Linked DNA regions of Oreochromis niloticus. The protein of the gene in region 1 purifies or fractionates together with the protein of each later gene. This does not show direct contact. Links are inferred from orthologs where the notes say so. Each region holds a gene or a part of one and is shown on either strand. Other genes may lie near its edges.

Evidence for each region. Proteins that work in one complex are often made in the same cells at the same time.
Region 2: the proteins of lin28aa (region 1) and bxdc2 purify together in Homo sapiens (affinity purification with mass spectrometry; 3 studies listed by BioGRID and IntAct, with this or other methods). This does not show direct contact. The link is inferred for Oreochromis niloticus from reciprocal best matches to the Homo sapiens genes LIN28A and BRIX1.

Annotation. Positions count from the first base shown.
Region 1 is NC_031976.2:26,322,441-26,330,384, forward strand, and holds the start of lin28aa (protein lin-28 homolog A), read right to left. Parts: upstream 3,094-7,944; 5' UTR 1,525-3,093; coding exon of another isoform or gene 1,515-1,524; 5' UTR 1,144-1,514; coding exon 1,113-1,143; intron 609-1,112; coding exon 436-608; intron 1-435. Other genes in the region: glycoprotein endo-alpha-1,2-mannosidase-like protein, read left to right, coding at 5,277-5,787, 7,058-7,167. UniProt on the Homo sapiens protein: RNA-binding protein that inhibits processing of pre-let-7 miRNAs and regulates translation of mRNAs that control developmental timing, pluripotency and metabolism.
Region 2 is NC_031972.2:18,181,967-18,189,363, forward strand, and holds the start of bxdc2 (ribosome biogenesis protein BRX1 homolog), read left to right. Parts: upstream 1-4,354; 5' UTR 4,355-4,398; coding exon 4,399-4,548; intron 4,549-5,719; coding exon 5,720-5,831; intron 5,832-5,924; coding exon 5,925-5,968; intron 5,969-6,051; coding exon 6,052-6,122; intron 6,123-6,212; coding exon 6,213-6,262; intron 6,263-6,352; coding exon 6,353-6,426; intron 6,427-7,382; coding exon 7,383-7,397. UniProt on the Homo sapiens protein: Required for biogenesis of the 60S ribosomal subunit.

The DNA.
Region 1 (7,944 bases):
TTCCCCTAAAGGAGAAACACCCACCGCGCAGCAAAAGCATCAATTTAACAGTTAGACGTTTCCGGCATTATAGCAATTTTCATCTTTGAAAGTCTTTCAGTGCCCTCCCTGCTGAAGGACTGGATTTCTGATTAACCTCGGTTTCTTTAAGTTTTTGTTTGTTGTAATGTTTTAACTTATGCCCACAATCCTTTGCTGCTGGGACTAGGTCTAAAAACACATAAACTGAAGACTGGAAGAAGATCAGATTGATCTCTGATCTCCTGGTGTGGAGAGATTTTACTTGCTTAGATGGAAAACATATTTTTACCATTACATTTTATTTATCTTTATTGGGATGCAAAGGTTTATACGAGCTGGTTCACACACCGCCACCACCAGTGCTGCGTTTCTCATGATAAACAAACACCACGTCGGAGCAAAAGCAGATCATACCTGATGGACGAACACATCCACCGGCTCTTCCAGCGGCACTCCCTCCCGGCTGGTCATGGACAGGAACCCGAAACCCATGCGGACGTTGAACCATTTACACACACCGACCCCGTGGAAAGACTCTGAATTCTCCTCGGGACTCGGTCCTTCATCCTCCTCGGTTTTACACACTCCTACGATGAAACAATTTAGCAATTACTACATAAAAGCTTTAAACCTGCGAATGTGACGATGCTTAAAAACGCAAAAGAATTTTTTGAAATTGAAAGGTTTTAAAAAACGGAAATACCCATTTTCCTTTAGGCTAGGCTACCCAATCAATAATCAATACGAATCAATAAAATGAACAAGATTAGGCTGTATTTCTCACATAATTTGAAATAAATTATAGCCAACTTTTTAATGGAAATAAACATGCGACTTTTTTCAGCGAATGCACAACGAGTTGGTGTAAAATTAGCGCAAAAAAGAAACAAAAATATTGTTCCTTCCCGTAAGATGCACGAAATTCTAAAGACAATGCAAAGCACTGATAGACACACGGACTGCACATTTTAACGTTCAAGTGTGTGAACAATGCGTTAAAACGTTCCGCTGCAATCGAGCACACAGTCCACAGGTACAACGACTCAATTAACTTGCAAAAACTTCTCAAAATGTAGCTCAAGTTACCCAACCTCGGAGCTGCTTCTTAGAAACGGAACCCATGTCTTCAGTTCTGCCTTGAGTCAAAATCAGCACCCAAGCTACAGTATCCAGTGTACAAGCCCTCAAACTGGGTAATCCTCGCAGATTGCCACTTTCATGCAAAATGCTGTGAAACGCAGAAGCTGCGCAGCGAGAGGGAAAGCGTGAGAGGGAGGTAAACAAAAGGGGGCTGGCAACCTATCCCCCTTAAACAATGAGGGGTGGGGGGTCACCGGGAGAATTTCTTTTTTTCTGTGAAGACCCCGACCCCCCCTCGCTAAACAAAAAAAAAAAACCCCAAAAAACATCTTAGACAATACATCGAAACCCTGCCCCACCAGAAAGCGCTCTAACCGTTTCCAGAGATAACTCCCTAAAACCTGCCAGCATACCTTCTGCCATGTTCGGGAGCTATGGTTTAATCTCAGTGTCCACTGCTGCCGTTTCTCCCCTTTCTTTGGACGCCTTTTAGCGCTCCTGCAGTGGCCAGCTCTGTTGGTCAATACAAATGACCATTTCCCACCCAACAAAACCCCCAAACACTCGGTCACGTCCACGTGATTCACAATTACAGTCCCCAGGGATACACTGCATATTGCGTGATGGACGAGCCCAAACATGGGAAGTGGCCAATCACTATAATACGCATAATATTCTTATACTACCTTTGTTGTTGTGATTGGCCACTACTTCTGTAACCAGTGTAACATCCTTATATTGCAACCTAAGCATCTGTTCTAGTAGTGAGTTTACACTTACTGTAAATTTATCTGTAATGTATTTTGAGGCATTTATCTGCCTAAAATTAAACTTTTATTTAAATAAAACCGGATACTAAAACAAACATTTTCCTTTAAGACTTGACGCATTTAAGCATTTCATGTAAATATATATAGTGAGGTGAAGCTGCATGTAATAGATGAAAAGGCCAGAAGTAAATGGTTTAAAGCACTCTACTGAAAGCAATTAGTTTGAGATGTTCTTTTAAAAAAATAATAATAATGGATTTGAATATCTACATTTTATATCCATGTCATATTAATTCTCACGTGCGTTGGTTTCCTTATAATCAGAGATTCGTGTAACTGCTCTCCTAGGAGGGTTTAATGGTAATCCAGATGAAATTGTGAGTGGGGGACGGTTTTTTTCCACATGCAGCAGAGGAGGAAGAGCTCAAAGGAGTCAAACAAGCTAGGTGAAGGCGTGAAGAAGAAAAAGGGAGAGAGAGAGAATAACAATAACTCGGATTTAACAAAAGCATGCAAAGCAGTTTTTGCAAAAAAAGAAAGAAAAAAGAAAAAAGAAGGCGACCTCACGAAAATAAAACGAATTCATGGATCAATAGTGATTGATCACATCACGTTAAGCGTGTTGTTGAATTGCGTCCTTGTGAAATGAGTGATGACTTAAAGACAGGAGGGGGATAAGCAAATTTATCTCAGCCTAAATTAAAAATACAAATGCAAAAACAAAATAAAAAATAAAAAAAAGATTGAAAAGATGCTGTTAACGAATTTACTGGTGATGATTATGTGTTGTTACATTTACAAAGGTTTTGGAAATGACAGATAAGATTGCAGAAAAGGAAAAAAATACACAAAGTCCGTTTACATGTCTCAACATGGACACATGGATGTATTTGAAATTGTAATTCGTTTGCTTTATGCTACACCAACAAATATAAAAGATGCGGTTTTGCATTTGCTAATTTATTTGTGTGTTTGCTAAATAAAAACGATTTATTACTGTCACTGATTTGGCCTAAATTGGCAATACTAAATAATATTAAATATACCCGTATTCTGTTGTATTTTACTTATTTATTTGTTGAAATGGAAATATGTGATTGATGACTGAGAGGAGGCTGTGGCTCCCAGTTCATCACAATTACTACAACGACCTCTTGTGGACCCGCAAAACGTGTATTTGTGGCCCCAGATATAATATATTTTAATTTAATATGGAAGCTGCACTTCATGCTCAAAGAAAGAAAGAAAAGAAAATTATTAATCAGCGGTTACGTTTATTTCTTTTAAAAAAAAAATCAACAGTATTTTTGTATTTATTTTAGTTTTTACTTTTAGTTTTGTAATTTCGTTTGAAAAATGTGTTTTTTTAGTGGCATAGGTCGAAGGCACGAGTTGTATGTTTTTGCATAATTTACTAACTAGTTTACTAACTGATTAACTGTTATTACATTTATCTTTATAGAGGTTTGGCTAATGATCACAGAGGCCATGAACATTTTTATTGCCACTTCATGCTGGCGTTCTTGTGCAAAGAAAACAATCTAATAAAGTGTCAGGACGTCAGAACTTCCAATAGTGGGGTAAGAGAGCCGTAAGTGCTACCTAATAGGATGACCGAAAGCCAGTGCTTTTGGACAATATGACTGAATGCCAGCGCAAAGAAACCTTGTTCTGACGACAGGAGGCGCTTTGTTATATTTGCTTATCCCACAAAGTGGCGACAAAGTTTATTTACAATACCCCCCCCCCCCCCCCAAAAAAAACTCTACACAACAGCAACAGTTAATACTCTTATTATTACTACTTACATTATTAATAAAAAATAAATGGAAAACAAGCCACATTTATTTTATGAGTTCCCTATCCGTCACACATCAAAATATACTTTTTGCTATTTCTCGTCTGCCAAAAATTTATTTCCGGTATTTGCCAGAAAATGATTGCGGGAATTCAAACTGTTATAAACAACTTGTTGGTCTATAATTTGTCCCAAAGTCAGACATATCTCTCGTGAATGATATCAAGTATTTTTGAGTTAGGAAGAACATTCCTATCACAAGGTAAAAGCCACAATGAATTTTTGCGACTGTTTTATCCTTTATTTATCCTGTAAAAAAAAAGAAAGAAAGAAAGAAAGAAAGAAAGAAAGAAAGAAAGAAAGAAAGAAAGAAAGAAAGAAAGAATAATCTCTGGAATTGCAAATGTCTTTTTCTTGAGAGATCCGGCCAAGAGGGCAGCAAAAATTATAAGAAATATAACATCAGGATTCTGTAAACATACTTAAGTGACCAAAAAGGGCTGGATTGAATATAATGTAGGTACAATAACGCAGTCATAAAGATACTTGTAAAAGAGGTAATTTCTTTATTTTATATATATATATATATATCAATCCTTCATAAATCCTGTTTACGACAGTCTATTTGCCAATATAAATAAAGGTATTCGATATAAAAAAAAAACCCAAACAAACAACAACAACAAAAACCAAACATACGAAATCACTTTTTGGCACAACACCACCCAGTACCCGAAGGCAGCAAAGTGGTATGTGTTCTATAAAATGACCACTAGATGTCAGTATAAGTCTCGGTTCAAAGTGCCGACTAAAATCAATAAAAATCTAATACCTCAGGTTTAACTTTGAAAACAACTTTATGAGAAAATAGTAGTTGATGTCACCTTTAAGAGACGAGTTCTAGTCTTGTGGCCTCAGACCTGTTGATAAGAATAGTAGGCTATATAACTGGGGACCTATGCATGTTGTTTTTTAGTCTTTTCTTTTTGAGTATAAACTTTAGAAACGGTGCACGAGAAGGGTCCCGCCTCTTTGGCATCCATAAGGAAACACCAGCCAACCAAGCGCGGAGGCTTTAAAGCCTCTCCGGGCATGACCAACAGAGAGCATCACCCCTGCGTTAAGACACCGTTTTTTTTTGTCGGAAGTCAGGTGGATGGAGCAGCTGATGGGCGGGGGCGGTCCACGGGAGAGGTGAAGCATCTTAGTGAGTGACAGTGTGGAAAAAAAATATGAGAGGAGAGTCTTAAGTTAGGAATAACTGGCCTGTGGCATTTAAAACAGAAAATTGTAGCTCGGGCTTCTCTTAGAGGTATAGATCCGCGTTGCAGTGATAAAAAAATAAATAAATAAAAAAATCCGCAGCTCATCGAAATGCGGAACAGAAGAAAGTTAAAAATTCCTTAATCAGATACGTCGGATAGTCCTCTCTGGTTTGAGTGCAATCATGTAGACTCGTCCTTTAGCCGATGCGACGAGAAACACTTCGGAGAGTAGCTCGTAGGTTGTGAGGTGAACTCCATCTGGCCGCAGAAGCAGGACGCAGGTTTAATTTGCGCTCTTGGTTCCGTCCGCGCCGTATGCAGCTCCTGCCACTCTAGCCAACCATGGCACGACTGAGGAGGAAAGCGTGCATAGCTCTGTTTCTTTTCACGCTGTTCATCTTTGGGACCATGATGGGACTGAGGACCCTGAAGCCCAGTGACGGCTTCTCGGACTTGGCTCCGGGCTTGGAGCTCCTGCCGATGATCGGAGGAAAGATGGACCGGCGCTCAGTGTCCAGTGATGGGACCGCTTCCCCGGGTCAAGCCCGTCCGCCGGGCAGCAACGCCAAAGCCGTGTTGTCTAACACCGGCCCCGAGGGGACCATATTTTATGATGTTCATATTTTCTACTATATGTGGTACGGCAACCCACATATGGACGGTAAATACATTCACTGGGATCACATCCTAGTCCCGCACTGGGACCCTAAGATCGCATCCAGCTACCCGAGAGGGAAACACATGCCGCCCGAGGATATCGGCTCCAGTTTCTACCCCGAACTCAATCCGTACAGCTCTCGGGATCCGGATGTGTTGGAGTCCCACATGGAGCAGATCGGAGCATCAGCAGCAGGTACTGTAAAAAAAAAAATGCAAACCGGCACCCTGAAATTCTCGGAGAGACGCACAAAAAAAGAGCTGAGTGTTGTTATTTGTGGTCAGCAGCTTTACAGAAATGTGGCTTCTGTAAGCACAAAGCTGCCTCCTTTTTGCTGAAGGGGCTCGACACATTTTTCAGCACCACACATATACTGGACAGCTCCCCACACGCTTGGTCCTCAAATATCTGCTGCTGCGCTTTCATCCTTCATTAGGTGTACATCAGAAGCAAACTAATGTTTTTAAAGATGTTTAGCTATCTATATTAAAACCGAACCTTATACTACTTTAGTATTAAAGCATCACCAAGCCCCAAAGTATCTCTGCAAGTACCTTTATCTCTTTTAAATGTCATGAACTGATAATAGTTGTGTTGCAGTCTCATCAAAGACTTGTATGGCTCCCTTAAATTCAGTACAAGTTTGTTCCCTGGTGTCAAGTAACAGCGCAGTGTGTCAGCCATCAGCAGCCAACACATGATAGGCCCTGATGTGTCTGTCCTGCGGTGCAGTAGGTTACTGTACACCAGCTTGAGTGATGAAGGCCATCTAACCCTGAAACCTGGGAATCATGGGAGGTCCAGCTCAAAGTTGCTTAGTTAAAACCATCCATTTAATTAGAGACCTCATACTCAACTGTAAATAGATCTGCTTGACTTGGTGACTGATTTCCTGCCACTAAAATGAATAGTAGTAGCCGGCTTCTTGATACACAAAGACATGTTTGGCTATTGTAATCTAATAGTCTCCACAGCTCCACAGCAAGTGGACATGAGTTTAATAAATTAGTTGTGAGTGCATATACAGTGTGCCAGTTCCTACCTCTTGCCAGGCACTGCTGTGGCTGATAGAAAACCATTTTTCAGCCAGCGTGAGTTTATGAATTTATGAGCTGTCACACACTCAAACTGTTGCCACTAAAACAAGGCATAATAAATAGTCCTAAGATGACAAGTACATATTCATTAAAAAAATTAACTGTCCTCCACAGATCAGCGGATGTACTATATTGCTGTGAACCACAAAGAGACACTAAAGGATAATCGCAGAGAAAGCAACATTACTACAAGACAACAATAACTTCACATAAACACAGTTAGCTTGAAATCCATGCATCTTTTCAGCAATCCATACAATAATATTGTTAGAGCTTCATATACATTTTGTAATTATGTTCCCATCAGAAGGTGATGGTGCTCTAAAGTGTTAATTCGTATCTTTGATCAAGTGCTTATCTCCCTCTAGGTGTTCTGGTCCTGTCCTGGTATCCTCCTGGAGTAGCTGATGACAACGGGGAACCTGCTGAGGATTTGGTACCAGCTGTACTGGATGCAGCATATAGACACAACCTCAAGGTAAGCAGTGTCAGCACATTTTATGTGTGTGTGTGTGTGTGTGTGTGTGTGTGTGTGTGAGAGAGAGAGAGATGTTTTTTAGATGAATCATCTATTTTAAACATTAACTTTTTTCCTCTTTCCTCTTCATTGACTTTTATTGAAACTCTAAAAGACAGAACAATGAAAAGGAAATCAGATAGCACACTATATAACAATACTGCCAAAGTATAACTAAAGTAAGCTCAGATCATATAGAAATATAACAGAGTTTACAGTGGTTTTGAACTCTGTTGGAAAAATTACATTTATGAAATTCATTTTAACTTTAGGACTCTAACTTCCTGGAAAACACATCAGTGACTTTGTCATTTCTGTCACTCAGCAGCTATTCTGCATGTCCTTTAAGAAATACAGGAGATGCATCTCTAGAGATTTCATTTGACCAAATCACTTACAGAGGAGATTTTTAACCTGAACAGGGCATTTTTGTGGTTGGATAAAGACTATAACAAAAAAAAAAATATGTCCGTAATTTGCGCCAGTTTGTTATGATTGGAAAAAATATATTCAGTTACCAACAGACTGCCTCTCAAAAGGAAAGCATAGTGCCAATTTAGTACTACTACACAACAGTAGCCACTGCCCAACATGCATGGATACCGTGCTCATGGATTAATGTACAGCAAATCACCATGATAAAGAATCTAGGCCAGATGGCAGCAGCTAGGCTTCTCCTAATTCCTAACAGCTGTAACAATGTCCAAAGTTATCTAATCTTAAGAATTCCTCATATCT
Region 2 (7,397 bases), on another chromosome or scaffold:
CTTGGGTCCTGTTACAATAAAAAATTAAAGAGGACCTTACGTATTTTAAATCTGCCTTCATGTCGTGTTTATGGAGGTCAAAGATGAAAAATAAAACCTATATATAATGTTCAAAAACAAGTAAAACAGCGGCTTGTGTCAGCAGGTTTCAGATCCACAGTTACATAAATCTCTGTTTGGGACAATGCAGTAATAATTGCAGAGGTCTTTTGAGTTTTAGTTTTTTTCCTAATCTGCTTTGTTCTGATTACACCTTTTGTGTATGTTTCCCCACACGCAACCCTTTGCGTGTCTGCAGTATTGTTTCCACCAACAGGAAGGAGCAGGTAATTATAAGCAGATTAGGAAGTGGTAACAATGACTTGAATGCTATTCTTCTTCATATAGGAAAACATCCCACTGGGTATTGTCATCATCAGTGCCCAGAAAAGAAAAGACATCAATCAGGACATTAATCGGGGAATAATAAAAGGAAAAAAGACCTATGGGTGCATGGCTGCAAAGGTTAGGATATATGTTGTTTGACAGCAGAGATGAAGATGAGGACTTGGTGTGGTAAAAGCAGCCTGCAAACCGTGGCAGCAACATAAGTGTCGTGTCATACTGTATTTCAAAAATAACCAGCCGTTATCAGCATCCTGTACCCTAACATTGGCAATCAGGATAAGCGGTCACACATAGCTGGTTACCAACTCACTTGGTCAACTGAGCAAGTTGTGGGGGAAATGATTGTTCGATCCCTTGCAGAATTAGTTTGCTCGTTTACAAAGAAATATCCCTAATCTTCACAGTAGTTTTAATGGAGAGACACAAAAGATAAACCAGAAAAACACACACACACACACACACACACACACATTACATAAAAGGTATGTCCCTGTACTTTTATAGTATTTGGTGAGGAAAAAACACTTTTTGGCTAGTAAAGCGGTAAGACGTTTATTATAGTTGGTCACCAGGTTGGCAACCAGATCAGGAGGGATTTTGGCCCACCTCTCTAAATCCTTGTGGTTTCTTGGCTGCCACTTGGCAACTGGAAGCTTCAGCTCCTTCCACAGATGTTCAATAGGAAAATTGGACCTTTGGTGTGGTGACGCTGTCTTGTACTTTTAGCAGAAAAGGAGCCCGAAAGCATGACGTTTCCACCTCCGTGCTTGACTGTGGGAATAGTGTTCTTTGGACGATACTCAGTATTTCTCTTGCTCCAAACATGCAGGGTTGGGTTGATGCCAGACAGCATGATTTTAGTTTCTTTTGACCACAGTACTTTCTCCCAAGGCTTCTCTGCTTCATTTAGATGTTCACTGGCAACTAGATGAGCTTGAACATTTGCCTTATTGAGCATGGGGACCTTGGTGGTGCTGCAAGACATCAGTGCACTTCAGCACAGTGTGTTATCAAAGGTCTTCTTAGTGATGGTGGTCCCAACTGCCTTCAGAGCCTCCTGTATAGTTTTAGACTGATCTTCCACTTTCCTCATGATTATCTTCATCCTATGAGGGAAAATCTTTCATGGAGGGTGACCAATGATTATTTTATATTTCTTCCATTTCCAAATATTTGCAACAGTTTTCACCTTCTCTCTAAGCTTCTTGCTGATGTTTTAGAGCTCAGTCAAGCCTTGTGCAGGCCTCCAATCTGTTCCTTACATCCTTTGGCAGCTCTTTGGTTTTGCCCATGCTGGTGGAGAGATGCTTTTTTCCGGATTATAGGTTGATATTCTCCCTCTTTCTATTAAAATGAAACTAGCAAAACAAAAAACAAAAAAAATGAGAGAATGTTCATTTCTTTGGCAACAAGCAAACTTGCAATTTCAGCAGGGGATCACATTTCCCCCACTGTAGGTGTGAGCACATTCACATGAAAGGGGTGTTATTGGCAATCACACTGATTGTTATGTCACCAGCTGAGCAGCTGATTTTACAAAGGAAGAATAAACTATGATGTTAAAAAAATATGAAGTGGTTAAAAACATAACAGAGAATCAAAATAACACAGCTACTTCAGATAAATCAGCGACATGAGAGAGAAAAAACTGTACTGTTTCGTGTTAAAAGTGCTGTATGAATTTGTGAGTGCTTTCAATGTTTTGGACAATAAGACTGAAAAAGAGCTACATATTGATAAAGTGTAGCTGACTTCAAGGCAGGAAGAAAACCTGGGGAAAATGCCAGTTGTGCGATTTAACAAATAAATCACTTATCACAACTTTATCATTCGGGAATTGTGACATTGATCAAGACTTCAGTCGGTGGAGAGTTCATACCTGTTCATCTCTAATCTGGCGTTGTGACAGAAAGTGTTTTTTACATGTAAGATGTTTGCTTGTATTGGTAAACAGACTGTAGTCAACAGGATTTACAAAGGGATTATATTTTAAATAAAGAAATTACCTGTTTTAGCATTTCTGCAGTGCTTTCAACACCATCCAGCCACGACTTCTGAGGGACAAGCTGGAGCTATCGGGAGTGGACCACCACATGTCCCAGTGGATACTATGGACTATCTCACAGAACGCCCACAGTATGTGAGGACACAGGGCTGTGTCTCTGATACACTGGTCTGCAGTATGGGGGCCCCCACAGGGAACTGTGCTGGCACCGTTCCTCTTCACCCTCTACACTGCAGACTTCTCCATCAACTCCCCACGCTGCCACCTACAGAAGTTCTCTGACGACTCTGCCATAGTTGGCCTCATCACAGGTGAGGATGACTCAGAGTACAGACAGTGGACTCTGGACTTTGTAGACTGGTGTCAGCAGAACCACCTGCTGATCAATGCCGGGAAAACCAAAGAGTTGGTGGTGGACTTCCGGAGACGCAGACCCACCACACTGACACCGGTGAACATCCAGGGAGTGGACATTGAGATAGTGGACTCTTATAGGTACCTGAGTGTTCACCTGAATAATAAACTGGACTGGAGCCACAACACTGATGCTCTTTACAGGAAGGGTCAGAGCAGACTCTACCTGCTGAGGCGGCTGAGGTCATTTGGAGTCCAGGGAGCGCTTTTAAAGATCTTCTATGACTCTGTCGTGGCATCTGTCATTTTTTACAGTGTTGTATGATGGAGCAGCAGTTTATCGGCAGCTGAGAGGAAGAGGTTGTGTAAACTTATCAGGAAAGCCAGCTCTGCTCTGGGATGCACCCTGGACCCAGTGCAGGTGGTGGGAGACAGAAGGACTCTGGCCAAAATAACATCTCTGATAGACAGAGTCTCCCACCCCATGCATGTAAATGTTGCTGAACTGCAGAGCTCCTTCAGTGACAGACTGCTGCATCCTAGATGCATGAAGGAGCGTTTCCGCAGGTCCTTCCTCCCTGCAGCTGTCAGACTGCAACTTGCACTATTTTATCAACCGATTCACACTACAACCTGGGTTTGCCTCTTATCTGTATTTCATTTTATTTTATTTAATAACTGTACAGTACTCTGTTTTTGGTAACCATTGCCCTTGATGTAAATATGTAAAAATTGTGTATGTTTCTGTTCTGTGTCTTGTGTACTGTTTGTTTGTATATGTGTCTTTCTTGCTGCTGTTACATCCAAATTTCCCCTTGTGGGACAATTAAAGGATTATTCTATTCTATTCTATTCTATTCTATTTAAAAGAATGACTCTGCATTATTGTACCTACATTATAACCAATCAAGTCCTTTTTGGTCACTTAAAATATCATTATAGAACTATAATGCTAATTTGTTGCCATTTCTGATACATTCTTGGCCAGATCCCCTCAAAGAAGACATTTTGAATGTCAACAAGACTCTTTAATGGGACAAATAAAGGTCATATAAAAGAAACTTTACCAAAAACTAATTTCAGTTTCTACCTTGTAGCAGGAATGTTGTTTGTGGCTCAAGATGACTTAATAGCTATCACAAGGGAAACATTTGGCACATATTTCACATGTTATAGGCCAACAAGTCAATGACAGCAATTAAAATACGAGTAATCACTTTTTTGGCGAATACCAGAAAGCACTTTTAGGCAGACGATCACTTAAGGTTCGCAGAATGAGTTACCGTGGCGATGTAACCCTGTAACTGATCGACCTTTTTAGTACAGGGAACGCAGGGTTCATCCTGGAGCTACTTAATATAGAATGCCATATAGGCAGGTGGAGGCAGGTGGAGGCAGGAACTGGCATCATGCCACACCTGTCTCTGGCAGGCAGGAGTAACAGGAGTGATCCTGAACGAATAAATGAATAAATAATTTTTTTTTTCAATGCCAGGGTTGAAAAGGGGGATCTTTCTTTCTTTCTTTCTTCTAGAGCCGCCATCCAAAAAAGACGTTGGGGGTACCATCTCCAGGACACTAGAGGTCACTCTCACTATTGCTTTATGTTATTTTTTTTCTTCGGAAGTTCGGAGTTTCGTGTGCGTGCAAACATGTCGCCGTTCAAGAGAAAACGTGCCGGCCAAGATTCCGTTGATTTCAAGCCGAAAAAAGGAAAACTGGTACCAGATGAAGGCAAAGGCCTAGAGGAAGTGGGAAGAGAGAAGGAACATGAGATCACGGTGCCAGCACCGATCTCTCAGGTCAGAGTTATAGCGTGTTATTGTCCACTGAACTATTTTAGCTGGTGAGCCAACTTCAGTTTACCAACTACGCGCTACTTTACTTACTTATCTATAACCTGTTCAGTGTGTTGCATCGGATAGAGGAATTCGTTATATCGGAACATTCCCAATCTGATATCGCCACAGATATAAACCAAACTGCCTTCTTAAACGTACAGTCGGCATTTAAGGCTAATTAATAGTAAAAAGAAAGAATGTTGTGCTCATAAATATGATAGTGTGTTATTACGTTCCTTCCAACAAATTGATGCGTTTTAATAAACGCATCGTTAATCCATTAAAAATACATAAATGGCTCGTGATGTTTTGTGGAGGCGGCCAGCTTATTTAAATACAGTGGCCGGGAAGGACATTTCCCTTCCACCCAGTCGCATTTTACATGTGGCTAAAGCTCGGCTACATGTGTAAAACACCAAAGGAAGAGAACTCGTAGAAGTCGACCTCGGAGGCTATTTTAAATTCGTGACTTCGTCTTCAGACTCAAGACTTGAAGGATTATGCTTGTGTTTTATAGTCGTGGAGAAGGGGTCCCCTTCATCAAAGAATCAAAAATGCAAAGGAAAAGAGAGAGGCCCACCAGCATTTTAAGAAAATGTCATCCTCGTTATCCTCACCTCAAGCCAGTGCTTTTGTACATGGAAACAACATGCTAATTTATTCCTGATGTTGTTGCTGTTACTCATAGTCACTGGCTAAACAACAATAGCATCTAATTAGAAAGTGTCCCAAAAAGGTTTCGCTGTAATAAACAGTTTGCTTACATCGGAGGGTTTATTCACAAAGCATCAAAACAGCAGCTTTTACCAAAAGAAAGGTTCAGCATATCCTCAATAACTCACCTCAGTATGGAGGTCAAAGGTCACTGACCTGTATTAGACTACTTCCACAAAGTTTGAGGGTCTCTTCCAGATTGAATAAATGTGGATCCCTCTTACCCAGAATTGACAGCTGAGGTAAACAATGGACCAACAGCCTTCCGCAGACAGGGAAAAACTTCCGGGCAGATCCATATCTGCTCTGAACCGTAGTAGAAGAACGCTGTTTCTTTGCTTTTGTTGCATTTTAAGACTGAAATTGCAAACTGGTATTTGTTTTAGTTCGATGTTCTGAGGTAAACTCTCTTTAACAGGGCAAATGGACCAACAAGGAAAGAGTTCTGATTTTCTCCTCCAGAGGGATCAACTTCAGAACCAGACACCTGATGCAGGACCTGAGGACCATGATGCCTCATGCAAAGGCAGGTTAGTGTCATATAGCATTCACCTACGGCATTGCTTCACACAAACACCTGTGTTATCTGTCTTACCTTACTAACCCACAAATCTTGTGCCTAGACACAAAAATGGACAGAAAGGATAAGCTGTTTGTCATAAACGAGGTAAGTTTGCTGTTTAATATCTCAGTTTACTCTTATATAACATATATAAAGCATCCAGGAGAATAAAGTCATTTGTTTGGCAGGTTTGTGAGATCAAAAACTGCAACAAGTGCCTCTATTTTGAGGCCAAGAAGAAGCAGGACCTCTATATGTGGTGAGAATTTCATTGGTATTACATCTCGTGTACATCAGACTCATAATAAAGCCAATCTGAACTAAGTTCAATCATGTTCTTGTCTTGTAGGATTTCAAACAGCCCCCATGGCCCTTCTGCAAAGTTCCTAGTCCAGAACAGTAAGTTATTTCTCCACTAAAGCCCTCAAATGCAGCAATCACTTGTTATATGTTGGGAAAAATAATTGCATTGCCCCTCCTCTTCGACAGTTCACACACTGGCCGAACTCAAACTGACAGGAAACTGCCTCAAAGGATCCAGGCCGCTGCTCTCGTTTGATCCTGTGAGTAGAACTGGGTCATAAAGCCAGGAGTAATAAATGAGACTTGCTGTTAGTTTATAATCAGTATGTGTTTATTCCGAATTTCTTGCACTATGAGTCTCATCAACACCACATCAGATATTTATGGTTTAGTGTAGTCAAGGAAATAGGGATGGGAATTGGTAAGAATTTAGCGATTCCGAGATCGATATCATTTATCGATTTGATTACTTATTGCAGCAATATAGAAATTACCTTCATGCAAATTAACTGCATGCTGTGGGTTAAATGTTTGTGCATGTTACACAGAACATATTAGACATATTACACAGAACACTTTTCTTCAAAGTAATGCAGTACGTTACTTAATTACTCCCTGGAAAAAATAATTCCTTACACTACTCGTTACATTACTTTCATGTTACACTATAACTGAGCTGAAATACACTATTTAACAATATAAACCTGAGGCTACAACCCCACACACCAACACAAATCCCTAATGAGAACACACATCTCTAAGATCTTTCTCTTGGAGAATACAAAGCAGACCACACAAGTACCGAAGTTGTGTTAGCAGTATAATGCAGTTTTTTCTGTCCAGTTTTCCACTTTACCATTTATCTCATTCTTTTGTGCAATAAAAATAAGTGTCCATATCCATGCTCGACTGCGTCGCCTTTTTCCTCCTCTGACAAGCGAACCGTGCAGGAACCAGTAAGCGGGATCGATAGAAAGGCAGAATAACAATTCCAAGGAATTGGACTTCTGGGAATCGGTTTTCTACATAAACTGGTTCTCGATTCCCATCCCTACAAATAGCGTCACAAAAATCTGCACAGTGTCTTCACGCTGATACAAAATTCTCGGTCTGTGATTTGAATAGTGAAGGTGTTTTTGTGTTTAAGTTGAATTTAAGAAAAAACTCCTGAGCAAGAGCTAAAGTTTTTATTTTTACTCTTTATTTTCTTTCACAGAAATTCGACAAGGAG